Linked DNA regions of Yarrowia lipolytica. The protein of the gene in region 1 interacts with the protein of each later gene in a biochemical or structural test. Links are inferred from orthologs where the notes say so. Each region holds a gene or a part of one and is shown in the gene's direction. Other genes may lie near its edges.

What was found.
Region 2: the proteins of YALI1_E12454g (region 1) and YALI1_D03990g form a complex in vitro, tested with the Saccharomyces cerevisiae proteins (4 studies listed by BioGRID, with this or other methods). The link is inferred for Yarrowia lipolytica from reciprocal best matches to the Saccharomyces cerevisiae genes BUB2 and TEM1.

The regions. Positions count from the first base shown.
Region 1 is NC_090774.1:1,241,184-1,251,873, reverse strand, and holds YALI1_E12454g (uncharacterized protein), read left to right. Parts: upstream 1-6,488; coding exon 6,489-7,862; downstream 7,863-10,690. Other genes in the region: YALI1_E12496g (uncharacterized protein), read right to left, coding at 1-2,266; YALI1_E12482g (uncharacterized protein), read left to right, coding at 3,634-6,111; YALI1_E12421g (uncharacterized protein), read right to left, coding at 8,944-9,196, 9,651-9,739; YALI1_E12402g (uncharacterized protein), read right to left, coding at 9,836-10,690. UniProt on the Saccharomyces cerevisiae protein: Part of a checkpoint which monitors spindle integrity and prevents premature exit from mitosis. This cell-cycle arrest depends upon inhibition of the GTP-binding protein TEM1 by the BFA1/BUB2 complex.
Region 2 is NC_090773.1:394,542-404,863, forward strand, and holds YALI1_D03990g (uncharacterized protein), read left to right. Parts: upstream 1-4,532; coding exon 4,533-5,157; intron 5,158-5,213; coding exon 5,214-5,395; downstream 5,396-10,322. Other genes in the region: YALI1_D03952g (uncharacterized protein), read right to left, coding at 1-702; YALI1_D03987g (uncharacterized protein), read right to left, coding at 3,765-4,247; YALI1_D04017g (uncharacterized protein), read left to right, coding at 7,222-7,328, 7,374-7,588, 7,636-7,919; YALI1_D04030g (uncharacterized protein), read right to left, coding at 8,028-8,546.

The DNA.
Region 1 (10,690 bases):
GAGCAGCCGAGGCCTTCTGGACTCGTTCCTCCAGCGACTGGACCTTACCAACAAAACTTTCCATGGTCTCTTCCACGTCCTGGATTTTGGACTGCAGCATCTTGGACTCGTATCTGATTCGAGAGCTCATGACTTCGACCTCGTGTAGAGCTGCCTTGAGGCGAGCCTCTTCTCTGTATGAGTTTTTGAGATACGATGTCAGCTTGTCGAACAGCACGTCATCTCGCATCTTGGCCTTGCCCAGCATTCGACTTTCCTGGTCAATCTGCTCACAGACATCCCGCATTTTCTTCACATGACGCTTGAAGAGGAAATGGTACAGTTGCGACTTTTCGTACGATCGCCGGATACGCTTTTCACTGACAAAGGATTTCTCCGGGGGCTGGCGGAGAATGAAGTTCTCAATCAGACTGAAGGAATTTCGACGCATAACTGATCGATGGTGCTTTTCCAGCTGCTCGGGAACAGACAGCTCGTGGTGGAACTGATCCACAGACTTGGATCGTCGCCGGAAATGAAGAGCAGGGTTGCTGTTGTCAAACGACGTAGCCGAGTGGTTCGTTTTCGTCGTTTTGATGCTATCCTGCCGACCAGGGCGCAAGTGGTGACCGTCATCATCGTCACTGCTGTCATCTCTGTATTCCTGAGGTAGAAGACGATCAGTGAGCATGTTGTCGAGAGGAAGGTCAAGCTCAGGAGTCGAACTGTGGCCTCGGATAGCGATATCGTCATCGACCGAGTCGTTAGGAGAAGTTGATCGAAGTCTACCTCGAATACCTCTGTAAAGTCTGGAAGGAGGTACTTCAACCACATCTCTGGGCTTCCTGAGCTTGAACATGGCCCGTCGAGAGGTGTCTGCACCTCCAGGAATATTGTTGTTGGTTGACACTAATGAAGTGGTTGTGGAAGAGGCTGGGTTTCGGATAACTCGTCTGATATCTCGAGCAGCTGCCAATTCGGTATGTCCAGCAGACGACATGGGAATACCTACGCAGTTGGATACAAGAGAGGCATCAACAGTTCGCTGGTGGCCCTTTCCAGCCCAGAGGTATTTGCATCGAGCTCCCTGGAGCGACTTGGTGAGTTGCTCCAGGTTGAACGTCTCGGAAGCAGTCATATGAAGATGCTGCTTTCCAGACACTTCCTTGATGGACGATTTGAACAGATCGATGATATCGGAGTTATAACTGCCCTTGTTGGTGAGCAAGTAGAGTCTATCCATGGTTCTTTGGTCGATGATTCTGGTCTTGGGAAGCCGTTCGTGTTTCTGAAATCGACTCAAGCCAGCAACAAACCCCTCGCAATCAAAGGGATCTTTCGCCACCTTGGAGTTGAGCACATAGGCCATTCGGTTTCGGACTCCAATCACAAACCCAATCAAACCAGCAACGGTTGTGGGTCCCAAAACACCATCTTTGGGCTTGGTGTTGTACTTTCGCACTCCCCACATATCCCACCACGTGTTGATGGCGTCAACTGTTTCGTTACAGAGAAGGCCATCGCAATACTCGGGTTGTAGTACTCCAAAATAGAAGAGAGATAGCTGCACAAGAACCACCAATTCCTTGGCAGCAAAAGTAATGGGCACACTGTCATGGATCTTGTAGATGTTCTTGAACTTGGCCGCAGCAGTTCCGGACGGCTCACAGATGGCCAATGATGCTCGACCTCCACAGCCCATTCGCTTTAGATTCTCATTGACATCGAAATACTCCCATGTCTTTCGTACGTCTCCGCCAGGCACGGATACCAGGGTCAAGAAGGAAGGGAACGAGGACAACGAAGTCACAAACAGTACTCCAAGTTCGGTCTCCTTAGCTCGAGCATAGCCCTTGAGAAGCTCGTCGAAATACGCTTTAGTTCGGGGGGTCCATAACGAGGGGTTTCTGGGCAAGGCCAAGACACCGACACGCACGGTGTTGGACTGGTTTCCGGTGTATGATGTGATGACGGTCACTTTTCGTCGTTCACACACCCACTGCTCGACCATGTAAGATTCGTAGCCATGAATCACTGCCTCCTCGCTCACCAGGCTGCACTGCTGTTCTTGTCTCAAGTAATGGAATGCCTTGAAGTCAACAAACAGATACCGCACCGTTTCTCCCTGAGGAAGCGTTCGCTTGGATGTTTTCTTTTCTGTAGTCACACACTTGTCGCTGTCGTCTGGACTCACTGCTGACGTCGAGCGAGAGTGTGTGCGGTGCATCATGTCCCTCAAATCATGCTGTCGTTCCTTCTCTCTGTCGTGGGCCACTATGTGGTGCATTTTTGTCGGAAAAGCAATAAATCGACTCCAGTTGCGAAATGGGTCAATAAAAAGACGTCCCCAAAGTCACCAGTCGAGGCTGTGCTCGTTTTTTAAGCGTCTGGTTGAGTCTGATGTGAGAGTCTGTTGTGAGAGTCTGTTGTGGGAGTCTCCCGGTTTGGGCCCTGTCGTAGAACCTACTTTGGGAAGGCTGGGTAAGACAGTGAGCTGGAATATCGGCTTGAGTTGTCTGTGCGACTTAATTCCGGGCAAATCCCTCCTGTCCGCGTCTGTTTGATGCTGCCTGGTGTGGGACTGTATATCGTGCAGAAGGCACCTATAATTAGTGCGGGCTGTGTGATGACGTAATATCGTCTGTGGGGAAATCACGTGTTTCAAAACTGACGCTGAGAGTCAATTGTTGAACAAATTGAGGTGAAACAGAAATCTGGTTTACTTACTAACTACAAGTAGTCACGTGCAACGTGCAAAAAAATACCATCCCCAAAAACTATTGCTCATACTCATATCCACACATACAGTTGCCACCAGCACCCGCCACCCAAACCGCCTACAAACTGTACTTTGCAACATAACTACTTCCATTGCACTACGGTTTTTTCTCGCAGCTTTACAGTTCTGTTGGGAGTTGCAATTTGAGAGAAGAACAGGAGCTGAACGGCGCAGTTTCCGTCGCATCTGAAATATGACAACGGAAATCGATTCTCCCAGTCTCGGGGATTCCGACGATACATTTTCCTGTCTCCTCTGATCACTTCCCGTCTAGATATAAGTATCATCCAACATTTTCTTTTTTCCTTTTTTATCCAGTTTTTTATCCAGTTTTTTTTCTTTTTTTTTCTTCTTCATTTCATACTGAATTTTTAACATTAAAATACGCCGACAGTCGTATCGTACTGTTGTAAGATTGCATCAAAAGTAAGGGCCCTATATGATTCACGAGTTGCGCGAAATGGGCGGAAATGGAAGCAAAAAAAGTCTCGAAAACGGACACCATTCGCTCCAGCTACACAAGATGACCCCAAGCTGCATCCCAGAGCTTATCGGAAAGAATCTGATAAGCCGCGGAGCCGACCCTAGAGTAAGATTGTACACGTAGTGCCAAGAAGCGGTGAAAAGTTGGTGGTGGTGAAAAATGCGGGGTTTTGAAGGTGCAACGAAAGCAAAGGGTATTAATAAGCCAATGAGATCATGTGACTAGGCTGTAGCACGGTCGTCACCAACATTTGTACCACCCTGGGACTCCTCCCTGTTGCATCTTTGGTCTCTTGCAGTCGGTCGTCCATGCAGCCAGACCTCTGCCACTTAGTAATGTTAAGGTTGACAAGTGGCATATCATCCTCTCGTCATCTACTCATACCGCCATCATGGAAACAGCTGCGATGGAACGTGAGGCGATATTTCGGTCGGCTGAAATGTCGCTGGTCCAATTGTACGTGGCCAGTGAAATCGGCCGAGACGTGGTTGCGGCTCTAGGAGAGTTGGGCGTGGTCATGTTCAGAGACCTCAACACCTCGGTCAACGTTTTTCAGCGGTCCTTCATCAAGGAAATTCGCCGCGTGGACGGCGTGGAGCGCCAATTGCGCGGCCTGCGGGCGCATATCGACAAGCATGGCGTGGCAATCGATGAGCAGCCCGAGGGAGTGGCGGCTCCGACTCTGGACGAGGTGGACAACATGTGTCACCAGGTCGGGGCTTTGGAGGAGCGCGTGGGACACCTGGACACAACCTGGAATGAGCTGGTTGACAAGCGTGCGCTGATTCTGGAACGTCGAGAAATGGTCCAGACGGCAGGCATCTTCTTTGCAGACGCCAGAGAAAACAGACACGAAATTCGAGCGTCTCTAGAGGGCGACCGAGCGGGCCTGTTGTACGACCTGGACGACCCTCAGCCAGACGTGGAGGCCGCAACAGTCACCTGGAACTCGGTGGCGGGGCTCTCGTTTGTCACCGGAGTCATCCCCTCGACCAAAACCGCCATTTTCGAGCGGATCCTGTGGCGATCTCTGCGTGGAAACCTGTATTTTCGACACCAGGCGATCGAAAAGCCGCTGGCGGGCGTTAGAAAGGACGTGTTCATTGTCTTTGGACACGGAGAGTCGCTGCTGGCGAAAATCAAGCGAATCGCCCTCACCCTGGACGCCACTCTGTACCCTGTCTCGGAGGACTTTGATACACGACGAGAACAGGTAGAAGAGCTAAACATCAAGCTTGCGGACGTGGACAACGTCCTAGGATCCACTAACAATGCGCTCATGACCGAGCTGGCTCTCGCTGCCAATACTCTGCCCCACTGGGAGGTTCTGGCCAACAAAGAAAAGGCCATCTACCACACTCTCAACATGTTCAACTACGACCAGACCCGTCGATGTCTGATCGCCGAGGGATGGATCCCCAAGGCGGACTTTAGAGCCGTCCAGGAGGTGCTCCGCGATGTGACTCTGTCGTCCGGAGTGGCCATCAATTCGATTCTCAACGAAATCAAAACGTCAAAGACTCCACCAACATTCCACAGAACCAACAAATTCACGGCGGCTTTCCAGCTCATTGTCGACGCGTACGGTATTGCGTCGTACCAGGAAATCAACCCTGGTTTGGCGACTGTTGTCACTTTTCCATTCATGTTTGCTATCATGTTTGGTGATTTGGGTCATGGTGTTATTCTGGCCCTGGCAGGACTCGTCATGGTGCTCAAGGAAAAGAGCATTCTCAAGATGCGAAACCGAGACGAAATCTTCGACATGGCCTTCTCGGGCAGATACATTGTGCTACTGATGGGCATCTTCTCGCTCTACACAGGTCTCATGTACAACGATATCTTTTCCAAGAGTATGACACTGTTCAGATCGGGATGGGCCTGGCCTGAGAGCTGGGAGGAAAAAGAGCGTATCACAGCCCACCAAACGGGAGTCTACCCCTTTGGCCTGGATCCCGCATGGCATGGAACAGACAACAACCTGCTGTTCACAAACTCGTACAAGATGAAGCTGTCGATTCTCATGGGTTTCACCCACATGAGCTACTCCTTCTTCTTCTCTTTCCTCAACTACAAGTTCTTCAACTCGCAGATTGATATTTGGGGCAATTTTGTACCTGGCTTGCTGTTCATGCAATCCATCTTCGGTTACCTTTCGCTCACCATTGTGTACAAGTGGTGCGTAGACTGGATTGCCAAGGATAAGACCCCTCCTGGTCTGCTGAACATGCTCATCAACATGTTTTTGAGCCCAGGCACCATCGATGCTCCTCTGTATCCCGGCCAAAAGTTTGTGCAGATCATTCTGGTGCTTATTGCGCTTGTCTGTGTTCCGTGGCTGCTCCTTCTCAAGCCGCTCTACCTGCGACGACAGCATAAGCAGACACAATATGACGCCATTCGACAGCCCAATGCCTACCATATTGGTGACACTGACGACGACGCAGACTCGTTCGATATGACCATTGAGGAGTTTGAAGAGGAAGGTGAGGGACACGAGCAGTTTGAGTTTGGAGAGGTGATGATCCACCAGGTGATTCATACCATTGAGTTCTGCCTCAACTGTGTGTCGCATACCGCTTCCTACCTGCGTCTATGGGCTCTGTCTCTGGCTCATGCCCAGCTGTCTACTGTGCTTTGGGACATGACTATCCAGGGCGCCTTTGGACCCACGGGACCCGCCGGTGTAGCCATGGTTGTGATCATGTTTGCCATGTGGTTTGTTCTGACGGTGGTCATTCTGGTGATGATGGAAGGAACATCTGCTATGCTTCATTCCCTCAGATTGCACTGGGTTGAGGCCATGTCCAAGTTTTTCGAGGGAGAGGGGTACGCCTATGCTCCGTTCAACTTCAAGGACCAGCAGTAGATGTTGGCCCATGAGTTTGGGGTCATTCCCTTGATCCAAACAATACAGCCGCAGCTGTACGTAGAACTATTAGAGGTGACTAGACGAGCCTACGATAATGTATTATGTGATTATGACTGACTTTTTGGTGAGACCAGCGACACTTGTCTGTACTTGTACTGTACCTGTAGCTCATTTTGTTGGTGGGTCCAGCAATCAAGTCAAAGCCATATTTCCCGAGCTCCGGCATTATATTATTCCACGCTATCGTACGCACCAGTTGGTTCTCACAGTGCTTTGCTCATACTCTTCCATTGGAGTGTTTACACTACTAAAAAGTCTCTGCACAACAGCACACAGCATCCGCCGGCGACCGTGCACCGGTCTGAAACTTGAAAATGCGGCCCCAGAAGGTCCATCCATACTCGTTTTCGAATCTGGCGCCAATCGATCAACTTTTCCGGCCCCCAGCGGCCTCCTCAACCCCTATCGACACTCCAGAGATTAAGATTCATGCACATGCACTACTTGTAAACATGGCGACTGGTGATGTTTCCAGTGCACCCGCAACCCCATCCAGTTCAGCCTTCGTGTCTCCTGAAAGCGATCCCATCAAAGTCACCGACTACCAGGTCGCCGATCCCCAATTTCCCACTTCAAACAACCAGCTTCGTGGCCCAAATCTCCACCTCCGACGCACCCCAAACAAAAGCAGCTCACACATGTCACGAAGAGACAGTTTGGAGAAGCTGGAACGCGACCTGCGCAAAACGTCCAGCATATCTTCGTTCAGCGAGCGCAAATCGCCGACCAAACCGCGCTCGCGCCGAAAAGATACAATCGAAAACTTCCTATCAAAGACTCCCATCATTCTCAAGAGCTCACTTGGACAGTTGCGATATCTCGTTCTGGTGGAGGGGTTGAAGGCCAACGACCAGGCAGAATGCACCTACCGAGCAACAGTGTGGTCTGTTTTGCTCCAGGTGCCTCCCACCCGTGCTGAAGACTACATCAGACTCATCAAGCTGGGCCCTTCGCCCATGTACGGCAAGATCCGAAACGACACGTTCAGGACAATGGCCACAGACACGGTGTTCAAGCAAAAGGTGCCGGAAGACGCGCTCATCCGAGTTCTCAACTCATACGCATGGAAAAATGAAATGCGCGAGCAAAAGGCGAGTCTGGAAGAGGGCATTGACCACCTGCAAAAATCACACCGAGATCAGTACGTTCAAGGTATGAACGTCCTCGCAGCCCCGTTCCTGTACGTCTGCAAAAGTGAGGCAATGGCATTCAATCTGCTGGACGTCATGTTGTCTCGGGACTGCCCTCTCTACGTAAAACCCACTCTGGAGGGAGTGCATTCTGCTCTGGCCCTCATCGACAAGTGTCTGGAGATCATTGACCCAACTCTTTACAAGTACCTCAACTCCAAGATGCTCAAGGCCGAGTTGTACGCGTTTGCATCGGTGCTCACGCTATCTGCTTGCACTCCGCCGCTGTCTGAGGTGGTCGTGCTGTGGGATTTCCTGTTTGCCTACGGGGTTCACATGAACGTGTTGTTTGTGATTGCGCAGGTCAATCTCATGCGAGACAAGCTGCTGGAGAGCAAGTCGCCCATGTCTCTTCTGCGGTCCCTGCCTCCATTGCGAGCCCAGGAGATTATCAAGCTGGGCATGAGTTTCGTTGCCAAGTTGCCCGAGGACTTGTATGATTTGTTGGTGAGGCATCCATATGACGAGGCGATATATGAGGAGGTCAAGACCATTTAAGGCGAGACGAGAGCGACAAGAACCAAGAGACAAGTCGCCAGAAGCGAGAGACAAGAAGTGGTCACAGCAAGGTATTTTACCACCTACAAGTAGGACGTTGACTGAAACGACCCACACTGCACATACAACCACGGTATTGTGCCCAGAGCTCGCCGTGCATACCTATTTATGATATACAAGAAATGCTTCATGACTTGACTTAGCTACAACGCGTTTACTGGACATGATCGGAAGGTGGAGTATTAGCACCACCAGTATCTCTGATGCAGTCCTCGTTCTCATGGATTCATCCAACCCTACTACAAGTACTGTAGCATACACTTCTCTGTAGTTACCCTGCCTGTGACGAAACACCTGACAATCGTTGAATGTACCAGTCGTTCAGGCAATGAGTGAGATGGACGTGATCTGAGGTCGTATCTTCGTATCTTCGTATCTTCGTATCTTCGTATATTCACGTCTTCACAACCCACCTGAAATGCTCTCTGTTGACTACCAAACTGATTCTTGGGTTCTCGCATCTCATCGACGTAAATTCCAGTCTGCAAGTTTTCCATTTTTTCCCATTTTTTATTGGTTTTTCCGGTTTTTTTCTTCCTTTTTTTTTTTCTTCTTTCCTTCCAAACACTATATTTGCGTGCATCAACATGATGAAAGCAAAGGGGGCGTGTGAGAAGTAAAATGATCCGGGGTAGACCTGGGGGCATTTGGGGGTCCAGAAGACGGCGAAAAACGACCGGCGGACCCTCGGTGTCGTTTCAGGCAACCTCACGGTCTCCAAACGCCGCTCCCAGCCCCAAATATCCACCTCCAGCATGGTTTCAGAGTTTGGTGCCATGTGGTGCGGTGCAGTGCAAGTCGAGGGCGGTCCAATAGAAAGCGCCATTGCGATCGGTGGCTAAAAACAGAAGCGCCAGTTGCCCCGAAAGTCAGGGTATATAAAGCGGGTGGTACGCTGTTTGGATTCTGTGAACCCCAAACTAACGGTAAGTACACCTGGAGAAAGACCCGATCCGCACAACCAATGATGAAAAACATTATGGTATTAGGAAGAGCCAACCTACAAAGAACATGGGGATACTCAACGACAAAAGAAAACAATCGTGATGTGATATCTGAACGTGGTCGCTTTTTTCAACCACCTTGCTAACCTAGCGTGAGGGAGTAGGGTCATGTCTGTGGGCTGAGTTTGATGGTGGGGGAGACGTTGCATCTCTGACTCGGCCCTCAACTTTATGCCTCGATACGAGTCTGAGAGTTTGGTGGACCATGGAGTATCTGTACCATAGAACGAGCAACGTTTCTCTCGTGGTTCATGTTCAACGTGTGGAATTCTATGTGTACGTCTTTTTATTTATTTATCTTTATTTATTGATCTTTATTTTATTTATCTTAATTTATTGATCTTTATTTATTTATTTATTTTCATTTTTATTTTTTAATCGCATTATTTTAAGAGAGAGCTGGGTCAGAGTTAATCCGTCGATCACATTCAGCGGTTTACCTACAGTACAAGTACTTGTCTTATTAAATATAGAGTTTAATGTATTAATGTTATAATAAAAAAAATTAAATAAAAAACACAATAATCTAAGATTTATTTTTATTTTTATTTTTATTTGTTTTTATTTTATTTTTTAATTATTTGTTTGACATTCCACGAGTGTTCAGAACTGCGACAATGTGAAAATCGCGCTCTTCCTACTCATTTTTCTACAAATTGCTTTCTTGCTGCTCATACCCTTATACAAAAATCCAACTATTCAAATGTACAATTAATGTAAAGACCTATAACCCCGAAGGAAACTCGGTATCATTATATCCAATCCAGCCAAAATCCATGATGACAAACACAATAATGATAGATGAACCTTCATATCAGAGTAGAGAGCGTCACAATGTCTAGCTCGTTCGCACTCCACTGCTCCGATTGAGAGTCCTGGAACAAGTGTCTCTCCGTTGCGCTCAACTATCTAAAACACATTCATGTCAAAACACTCCTCCGAGTAATAACTCGCAATGACACTTCTCCTGCTAAACCGCAGGCCCGTCAACTTCTGCATCGCCACTCGACTCGTTTCCACACTGGCAAACTTGACGTAAACCTTTCCCACACCTGGACGAGTCTCAAAGATTAGCCGTCGATACGACGCCTTCATGGCCTCGGGGTCAGGTCGTGGGATCTTGATTTGGACCTCTTCTCCTCCTCCATATTTGAGACACTCGGACTCGACCTGCTCGGTGATTTCTCTGTAGGCCACATCATCCAGCAGCTCGTCCAGAGTCACCAGGTTGAACAGAACAATGACCGACGACTCCGGCCGGCTCTTGACGTCATTCATGACCGTCACAATTCCCTTCAACCCGTTGTTGGACGAACACGACAACTGCGTGGGTCCTTCACATGCTAGCATTACCTTGAGGTTCTTTCCACCAATCACCTGTCCTGACAGCCCTGAAACGGCGTCCTTGACCACCTCGGGGTCCTTGTAGTCCACCAGAGCAATGCCCGCCGACTCCCGAGACGGCAGCTGTCGAATGAGCTGGAATGCAGAAAGCTCACCGAACGATGCTGTCAGCTGTCGCACCTGGTCCTCTTCTACGTTGAACGGAATATCCCACACAATGATTTTCGTGTTGGAGTCCTCCACCACAGAAGCCACCTCCTTCTCCTCGTCCAGCGATCTTCTTGAAACTTCGCTTCTCTCTGGCGTAGGACAAATGTAGTTGGACGGTCGTCGTATACTAATGGGGGGTCCCGAGTAATTGATACCTAGACCAGACAGAGCCAGGGCTAAGGTTGCCATTTCCGCAGAAAAGAACTCCAC
Region 2 (10,322 bases), on another chromosome or scaffold:
GCAGCCTCGCTCTCCGTAGAGATCGGATCGGACCTCCTTCTCAAAAGTGGTCTGGTAGACGTAGCCAGAGCCGACGGCAATGGCGAGGGCAACGGCCTTCTCGTCGGCCTTGCCGGTGACGTCGTTCCACACGGCGTAAGAGGAGTTGATACCTCGTCCCTCCTTGAACAGAGATCGGACGGTTCGGCCGGATCCCTTGGGGGCCACGAGGATGACGTCAACGTCGGCGGGGGTCTCGACCTTAGTCAGATCCTTGAAGACGGGGGAGAAGCCGTGGGAGAAGTAGAGAGTCTTGCCCTTGGTGATGAGGGGCTTGATCTGGGGCCAGGTCTCGGACTGGGCGGCGTCGGACAGCAGGTTCATGATGATAGTTCCCTTGCCAATGGCCTCGTTGACGTCAAAGAGGTTCTTGCCGGGGACCCAGCCGTCCTCCTGAGCGGCCTTCCACGAGGCGCCGTCCTTTCGGACTCCGATGATGACGTTGAGGCCGTTGTCTCGCATGTTGAGACCCTGGCCGTAGCCCTGGGAGCCGTAGCCGATCAGAGCAATGGTGTCGTTCTTGAAGTAGTCGAGCAGCTTCTCCTGGGGCCAGTCGGCTCGCTCGTGGACAATCTCGTCCTCCTTTCCGTTGAAGGAGATGGTCTTGATGGTTCGGGCCACGGCGGGGGCGGACAGCTTGAAGGCGGGTCGGGTAGCAGCCATGGAGATGGGATCGGGAGGCAGACACACGGTGGCCAACTCGGGCAACGGCGGGCTCGAGAGCAGCCTGTCGAGAGGCAGTGGAGAAAAGTCGGGCAGACATTACTGTGGTGTTGTGTTGGGGGGGATTGGTTGTGAGAGAAGAAAGAGAGAAAAAATCGGCGGACTTTCAGCGTCGTTATATAGACCACGTTGGGCACTTTGGAGCTAAGGTTACAGTGCTCCGACAACAAGGCGATTGGGAGCAGATGAAAAGTTTAGGTTGGCAATTGGCCAATCGGGAGGCCGCAAATCAGATCAAGGTTTGGCAGCAGTCTGCCGATGTCGCTGGAGTGGATTTACGGTTTGAATTTTGCAGCGAAAAAAGAGTCATGGATAGATGCAGACAGTGAGTGAGTGATATGCCGATGGTGATGCCGATGTGGATGCCGATGTGGATGCCGATGTAGGGGCCGATGGGAACGGCGAGGCAGCAGCGGTGACGAGCGGTGACGAGCGGTGACGAGCGGTGAGACAGAAGCATTGAGTCATGGAGCTGGGTGGAGATGGGGTACAAGATAGGTGGTGGTGACTCACTGTACATCTGGTACTACTGTATTACGTACTACAGGTACAGTAGTATGGTTAGATCAATTGCTCTGTCTGCTGGAGTTGGCTGGTGTCTGATTGTCACGGGATTGTTAATACATCCAAGAGTTGAAGATTCCGTCATTTTTCAGCGACGTCGTTGATGAGGTTGATGGCGTTCAACCACTTGTAATCTCGGCCGGAGTACAACATGGTCCACTCATAACCACTCAATTCGAGCTCTACATCTAGCCGTCCACTCGCTACCACACTCTCTCACTAAACTCACTACACCCACTCCATCATCTTACCCCACAATTCTCTCGCCTCCAGACAGACTAACAAAGACCATTATTACACTTTTAATAGACCGGAGGTGAATGAACAGCCCCGTCGGAGGGTTAGTTTAGCGACACGCCAGTGTCTTAGATCCGATCTGGGCCAAGATGGATGCCAGAGTCCAACAGATCCGGACTTGGGGACAGTCTTGTAGGCGACTTTCGTACAGGCTTCAAGGAGGAGACTCCCAGTACAGTACTACAAGTAGTCGTAGTATAAGAGTGTCTGTGCTGCCACTTTCAAGTTTCATACAACTGTACCTGTTAATCTTTCCCCATAGCTGATGAGCCTCTGTTTCTTATAGACCTACCCACTGTCGTAATCCCTGGATCCCGTACTATATGACAGTCAGTAGGTATACTGTACTTCAACGTCCCCCGGACCTCCATTGTTCCCTGAGGCTCGGTGATATCGACACTCCGAAAGCTACCGATATCGCTTCTCGACAGCGACATTGTCACCACTCCAATCAACTCCGCTCCCGCTCCTCTCGCTTCCCCATATCTCGCGCCCACAGGGCCGGCATAGAACACATTAGGTTTCAACAACCGTTGGTTCGAAGGCAATATCTCGGTCAATAGTTGGTATAATTCAAAGCGGACTTTACCATTGGACTCCTTGAGCTTCCCTCGTTCTTTCTCTACCCTCGGATCCGATTACTTACTAAAATTCACCCTGCTATTCACATTCCTCGCTCCTCCCCCCCCCACATATGCACTCACACTCTAAGCTCCTCGGACGCACCGAAACCGATGACGGTCATAGCCGTGTGACCGGCCACAGCGAATTAGGTCCAGAGTGCATGAATACTGCCGGAGTTGAGCATCTCACTGAGCGTGACTCTTTGCGTGAAAATTTTAGACTTTGGTGAAAAATATAAACTCCACGCCGATATCGCTCAGGCACTCAACCCCCGCCCGATCACACGCAAGGGACTCTTTGTGGAGCGACAACGGCGTCTTTAGCCGATTTTGGGGGAGCACGTGCCGCAGCAAACCTCCGTGCGACATCGTCGGTGTCGCCCAGAAGACCATGTACCTGATCAGAAGAGCTCCAGATCAGACCCAAACCTCACATAGCCTTGCTCTGCGTGTCACATGCCTCGGCCCACGGTGCATGATTCAGGCCGCAATTGGTGGGGAAAGTGAGATAACAGCTCGGGCTTTTGATTGGTGCATTAGTCACGAGAGGTGGATGATTAGTCAGGAGACTCCAGTTGGTTGTGGTCCGGTTTCCTAAGTGTGCAAATGTATATTTCTCGCAATTTAGTTGGGGAGATACTAGACTCACACTTAGCACTGAACACTTTTCTCCTGGAACTTTTTTCGGGACTCCGCCTCCTACAAAACCAATATATGCACGGTGCAGATCACAATCAAACCCCGCAGAGCGCTGGCGAGCTCGTGCATGACGGGAAATGACCAGTTGGTGGTGTTCTCTCTGATGCCATATGTTTCTGGTGTCATATGTCGCTGGTACGATCTACCAATACTTGTGCAGTATGTACTGTACATACTGGAAAAGATGTTGCTGGTATAAGACAGTCCAAGACCCCAAAGCTGTCAATTGTGGACGGTAGAAGAGAAATATAAGTACAAGAACGGTACTTGTAGAGAGATTATAAGTCTTCTAAAGAGATGATCAGATCAGACATGAAAATCTCCAGTCTTGAAAAATCGTGCTAATTGTGGTTTAAATGTGTAGAAGCAAGAATCGAACCTGTGCGAGTACAGATGTACTGTAGTGGGCGTGAATCTAGGCGACGATCGATACTGTACATCTTCAACTCATTCTCCTACACTCGACAAAAATATTCACGTGATCAGTGTCGCGAGAATCGTATATTCACGTGATTCAGAGCACTCGTACTCGTATCGATAGTATCGCCGTTCCTAATGTCACGTGACAACAGTCGATTCTGTCGTGACCCTCAATTAGGAGTACCTCCTTGTAAAAGACCGACCTCATGTGGATCAGATTGTGTCCGCGACTTTCCCGTCTATCACGTGACTTTCGTTTTAAAACGTGACTTTCCGGCGTATCACGTGACTTTCCGGCGTATCACGTGTCACACTCCCCTTACTTGTAGAGGCCCTACAGTTTGTAGCTGAGTAATACGATACTCGTATGTACCAAACTGTATAGCTCAACCAGATCCTCTACCAACCCCCCCCCCAGGTCTGGTCACGTGAATAGTCACGTGTCCAGCCATTCCCATGCGTCATTATGGGGGTTCTCTCGAATATTGAAGGAAAAAAATATCGCCGATATTGCACAAAATATATAAACAGAGATTGCCCGGTTGTATGTACAGATTTGTACAGTCTAAATTGGTGACATATGTCAAAACTCTGAGACCGGGATAATGGCCAAAAATGGCATGAAATCAGGCAAAAAAGCGCAAAAGGTCTTGTGAACCGCCAAACCACGGCCTCTAGACCACATTGATGTCTTCTTCTCATCACCACCACGTCACAATGCACTGACAACGGTAAATGCGCGTTTTCAGCCTCATTTATGAAAAGTAAACTATTTACAAAACAAATAATACCATTGTATCCCTCAAAGAACAGCGATTCCAATGGCACCAATTTAACCACCATCCAACGTCTTTTGGGGCTACACTGGTGAATATTTGACATACCCCTAGATGGGATTTTTTAGGTTGGCCACAACAAGTGTCATAGCAACGGGTCACGTGGGAGCAACGGACGTGTTTGCGGTCGGATTTACGCGCCGAAAATGGTCACGTGAGAGACAATTGCACCACAAGTCACGTTCACCTTCCATGTCTACTCCAGCGCCCACAGTTGCCGATTTACGGGAATTCCGCTCAAACCCTAATCCAACCTACACCGTATCAAAACACAACTCCACCACCATCACGAACCCCACAGCACTAACAATATCCAGACTTATTTGCAACCATGGAACAAGAGAAAACGGTGCCTGTGGACATGAATGTGCCACACAAGAACAGTGTGTCGCTGAAAATTGGGCTCATTGGAGACGCGCAAATCGGCAAAACGTCGCTGATGGTCAAGTATGCCGAGGGAAATTTTGACGAGGACTACGTGCAGACTTTGGGGGTGAACTTCATGGAAAAAACGGTGTCGATACGAGATACGGAGATTACGTTTCTGATTTGGGATCTGGGTGGCCAGCGGGAGTTTGTCAACATGCTTCCGCTGGTGTCCAACGACTCTGTGGCGATTCTGTTCATGTTTGATCTCACGCGAAAATCGACTCTCAACAGCGTCAAGGAGTGGTACCGGCAGGCTCGGGGGTTCAACAAGACGGCGATTCCGTTTCTGGTGGGCACCAAGTACGATCTGTTTGTGCAGTTACCCAAGGAGGACCAGGAGGAAATCACCCAGCAGGCCAAGAAGTTTGCCAAGGCCATGAAGGCGTCGCTCATTTTCTGCTCCACGTCGCATTCCATCAACGTGCAAAAGATTTTCAAAATCGTGCTGTCCAAGGCGTTTGACCTGAAGCTGACGATTCCGGAAATTACCAACACTGGCGAGCCCATTTTGGTGTACCAAGGTGTTGGTCAGTAATTATTTATAGCGAGCAGGCGCAACCTGTGAGCCAGACAGGAGGATGAGCCGAGGAGGGGTGGATGGGCCGAGGAGGATGGGTAGAGCGAACCAAGCAGGAGGACGACCAGACAGGAGGAAAACCAGGTCGGAGGATGAGCCGAATTGGCAGGAAGGCACAACAGACCCGAGCACGCCCGAACACGCCCGAACAGACTCAGCCTAGCTCAGCCTGTCAAGTGGACATCTGAACAGTAGAAATGAAGCATTGACTTGGAGTGATGTGTAGGTTGAGATGTACCAGGGTGCCTGGTAGGTAATGTAGATGTAAACAGTCTAGATTCTCTATCGAACATCTGGATGATCTGGATGATCTGGATGATCTGGATGATCTGGATGACCTGATTGAATCTGACTATGATTCTTTCTCTGCTGGGTGGACATTTTGTCGGTCTTCTACTTCAGGTTTTCATCGATACACACGGAAAAGCAGCTACAAGTAGAAGTAGGGACACGAAGAAGCGATAGAGACCGACCGGCAGGTTTTTCATACTGGGGTGTTACTACAGTATGTACAGTAATTAAAGAGCTCTTCATGTAGAAGACCAGAATCGGTCCTATTGATGATCAAATATCTCAATAGAGCAGAAATTTGAAGTGCTCGATACCGTAGAATTGCCTAAGGTGTTTATATATGGTCCACAGCACAATGCTACAAGAACAGGACAGGTCCATATGAAATCATTGGAGGGATATTTTTGCAATTATCAAAGTATTAGATAAGTTTTTGAGAGTAAATAAAAGAAAAACCATCTTCGACGCCTCCGCTAATCTTGCAAAACATCTTTATAATTTTTTTAATAACATATTTATATTTCCAAGTATGTTAACTTGGTAAGTTTGTTGGGTTTAGTTGGAATGACAGGTTCATATAATGGTCTCATTTCAAGAGGTTGTAGTTGTAGTGACAATAAGACTGAAATAACGACAGATTAGTACTATAAAATGGGTGAAATGGGACAGATTGTACATTCTTTTATCGCAACTTTTAGTGGAAAGTGTGTTGGAAAGGATGTAAAGTTACTCCAAAAACGGTCACCCATATTTGACAGATACCGAAGTTTGAGTGGGCACATGGCTGAATGAGGTCGGCCGCGACATCTCCATTTTGTATATTAAGTAAGTATTTTTCTGGCATAATACTGATAATGAGATGTATTTTATAATAAAACATTCTCAGATTTCTCTTATCCATCCTATGACATCGGTTACAACAATATCTCGTTTTGGTTTTATCTTGGTTTAATCTCTCAATCATAGTTGAGAACCTAGTTGGAATTAGTTAGCCTGAAACAACAGGACACAGCTCGTCTCATCGTCCACATTTATTTGAAATAAACGCTTAGAGATACACAATTGTTTCTATTGAAGATCTCTGTGATATTCCCATCTTCTAATATCCATCGCTGTCTATTTTGTAGACACTTGTTACTTGACGTTACTGTTTTGTACTGTAGTAAATCCTCAACTGTCTAGACACCTTAAACTACAAGTAGACCCACCACCTGAACACACTTTTCCTCCTTCACACCACTTTTTCAACGGCACAGACACCAACAAAGCGGCAGATGCAATCATGTTTCGTCTCCAATTCGCTGTTGGTGTTTGTGTTGGAGTGGAGTGGTGGCTATAGGTGGCGATCTCCAAGTGGAGGAGCTGCGGTTGTGAACACGGCAAATGGCAGAACAGAGATACACAGATGGACTGACCCAATTGGTGTTAGTATCAACGATAACCCTCGATTGTCCTGCTTCTACCCCATCAAAGTGGACTTGGCGACTTCAGAACGCGATCTCGACTGTTCCTTGTATATCTCGAGACGATCTCACTGAGTTCTGTCGGTTAGGTTCTACTGATGGACTGCTTCACAGAACACTGATACGGATAGGGATGTTTGGGCAACTACTCATTCGCACACCCATGTGCCAAGTCAGAACACAGGGTTCTTCTGCCGCCACGAAGAACTCAAGTTAACACTGCTGTTGCGTCACGAGACGTTGTGTCGAGAACCTGTGGTATGAGTCCTTTGACAAGCCAGGGTGGCATCATGACTGAAGGGTACAGGAGTCGAGTGTTCAGTGTGCTCTACGTAAGGTTCTTATCTACAAGTCGTCATCACAGGATGTTTTTCTGAGGTACAATAGAGCACAGGGGCACACCAGAGTTCAGGGAGCACTCCAGAAATCAGAGCACACAGTCCCTACGATTCACATTGCCTACGACAGACATTGCTCGCCACAGACGCGGTCTACAGCGGACACTGCCTACGATACAACTGACACTGCCTACAACAGACAATGTGGCGCACAAGTTTACTGGAAAGATCCCATTGTTCCAGCCCCAGTATTATGCGCCGTTTGAAGACTGCGTCGACAAATCGGGCTGTGTGCATTACTGTCCGAAAAGTCTCGCGGGCCAACGTCGCGGCCAGATCGTGTTTGTTGCCATAGCTACAGCTGTACCTCAGTCTCAGCTCTGCTAGAACCAGTCCACCAGCCTCACTACGATACGAGTCGAAGGTATATCAGCCTTACCTATTACCCTGAGTCAGGGGTAATAATAAAAGAGAGCGTGCTACTGGATCTCGCAGTATTCTGGGTCTCCTATGAAACCACTGCACCCCTTGCAGGAGGAGGAGCTATACGAGGCGGTTTAGGCGCAGCAAGATGGGGTGGTGTCTCGTTTCAGGTTGATGAGTTGGGATGTCAGAATTAGTTGAGAATTACTTGGGACGAACTTCAGCAACTCGAAGACTTTTCCAGACCTCCAAGATAGTCTTACAACTGCGAGTGCAATACACAGCAAGTCTTTCCCGGAATGACGTCATCTACTCACTCTCCCCACTCCCCCCACTCCTACGAGTACTCTCCTCACTCGTGTTACGCGTGTTATTTTTAACCATCTGTCTTTTCTTGCTTCCTCCCGTGCACGATCGTCGGTAAAAAAAAACGGCTCCGGTGCATTCTTTTGGCCCGTTTCTGTGACTATTTTTGGCCCGTTGAAGTGAGATGACGTGTGTGGACTCAGAATATGCATGCGTTTGAAAAGATGACGTTCAAAGTGCCTCCTATCTGTCCCCCGAGCACCCCCGTGACAAGAGCCAGGTTGATACACGCTAATATGATGACCTCCATCTCCACACGGGCTAAAAATAGCCCACATACGAGATGCGTGGAATAAGCGAGCAGGGTAGGGGTTCGAACCTACAGTACAGTGGTGTCTCTTTTTGGGAAGTATGTAAACGGGAGAGAGTTGGTAGAGTTGGGTTCTATTAGTCTGTGGTGAGCTGAGAGAGATTGTGTTATGATATAGCCGTGGTGTATACACAACCGTAATGGCCATGGGATGGGGGTGTTTGAAAGGGGAGGCTTTTGTGTCTCAGAATTTTCGTATTTTGCCCAAAAGGCCCCCCAAACAGCCCCAAAATGGGTGTCGGCGCGCTATGCCTCATCTCTCTTTTCTCCAACTATAGGCTAACGCCGGCCAAGACAAATACGATCGGTTCACGTGTATAGGGGTTTGAGGGGAGCCAGTTGGTTGCGATGGTTTCGAGATGGTTGCAAGGTGGTTGCGGGAAATGGCAGATTTGGGAGGCGCGATGGGGATATGAGGCCACGTGGCTACCATGGGACAGCCGCCAAATTTGGAAGTACAGAGAATCTCAAAGCTCCTCTTTTTCTCTCTCAAATTGTTTGGCTGCTCTGTGGATGTGGCATCTGGTATTAACGGCACGCGCGTACAAGGTTATCCAGGAGAAGGGAGGAGTATAGAGAGAGAGTGGGAGGGGAGGCAAGAAGAGGGTGAGTCGAAAAGGACTCTTTAGGGGGTAAAAGTGGGTGGAAAAGGTGTCAGGAGAAAGATACGGGCTCCAACATGGGTCTGAGGCCCTTTTCCCGGCCAAAATCGACCATATTTGCGCCGTCGTCGGATTGTGCATTCCACTTCTACTTTTAGCAACAAGGTGCACGTCAGAGTTTCACATCCAACTCAAATCTCCAACCGTGCATATAAACATGTGGCTTAATATAATACCGTGGGAAAAAGCTGAGGAGAGACAAGCTACAAGTTCCTGGTTACAAGTTCCACACGGTTGCACTGCTAGACGACGAAAAATCCCTGCCAAGCACAGATAAAGACGACTTTTCCACATTCACTGCGCAACATTCGCATTTTTTCGACGCACTAAAACAGACTTAGTGAGTATGAGACGGAGTCAGGTTTCGATCTGGCTACAAGTGAGAGAATAGAGGCGCCACAGAGCCAGTGGAGGTTGGCAACGAGCCTGTCGAGCGGGTCATTTAGGTGCAATACCCAACCAGTCACTCGATATGTTCTACCGATAACGGTGTGTTCTACCTGTGTTCGACCGATAACAATGTGTTCGACTGCTCTGCTCAACCTCTGTTCGTGATCCGAGTCACCAGATGTGTCAGGACTGGAACATGAATAAGAGTGGGTTTGGATGAACGTTTGGGTTCTTCTGGTGCGACTTTTGTAAGACTCTGGGGTGCTTCTGGACGCTACTGGTATGTCGTCTTCGCTCCAGACAGCCCACCGCTGTCTGATATCTCTACCAAGTCTGGACTGGCTGCACCATCACCCCTGGACTCCACAGTCGGCACAGCCAGCAATACTCCTGCACCATTGGATGTGCCTAAAGTCTTCTGGTAGCACCATGGTGCCATCCACCGAGTCTATGATAGTCTCTGATACGTCTACTTCAGTCTGCTCTTTGACGGGCGTTTAGAGGTCTGACTGTCACTGATATCGTCTCCACTCGTGACTACCTACCACCAATTCCTACTCGCTTTGATCATCGTGTAAAAACAGCTCGTGATCTACGACCACTTACTCTCGACCACAGTGCTAACCCAGTGTCCTACCAACGCCCCAACCCCAACCCTTTTGAAGGTGAGCGGTTGAGTGACTCTGATCACGAGGGATACAACGATACAGGCCATCCCAACCTTTCAAACCCCCACCTCAACCAAGACACGTCCTACAACCCCTCGTATAACTACACACCCAACACCTCCGCCCCCTACCCTGTTCCCACAGTCAACGTCAGCGGAGTGAACCGAACCCCTTCCGGCAACCACTATGAGGACCCCAGCGAGT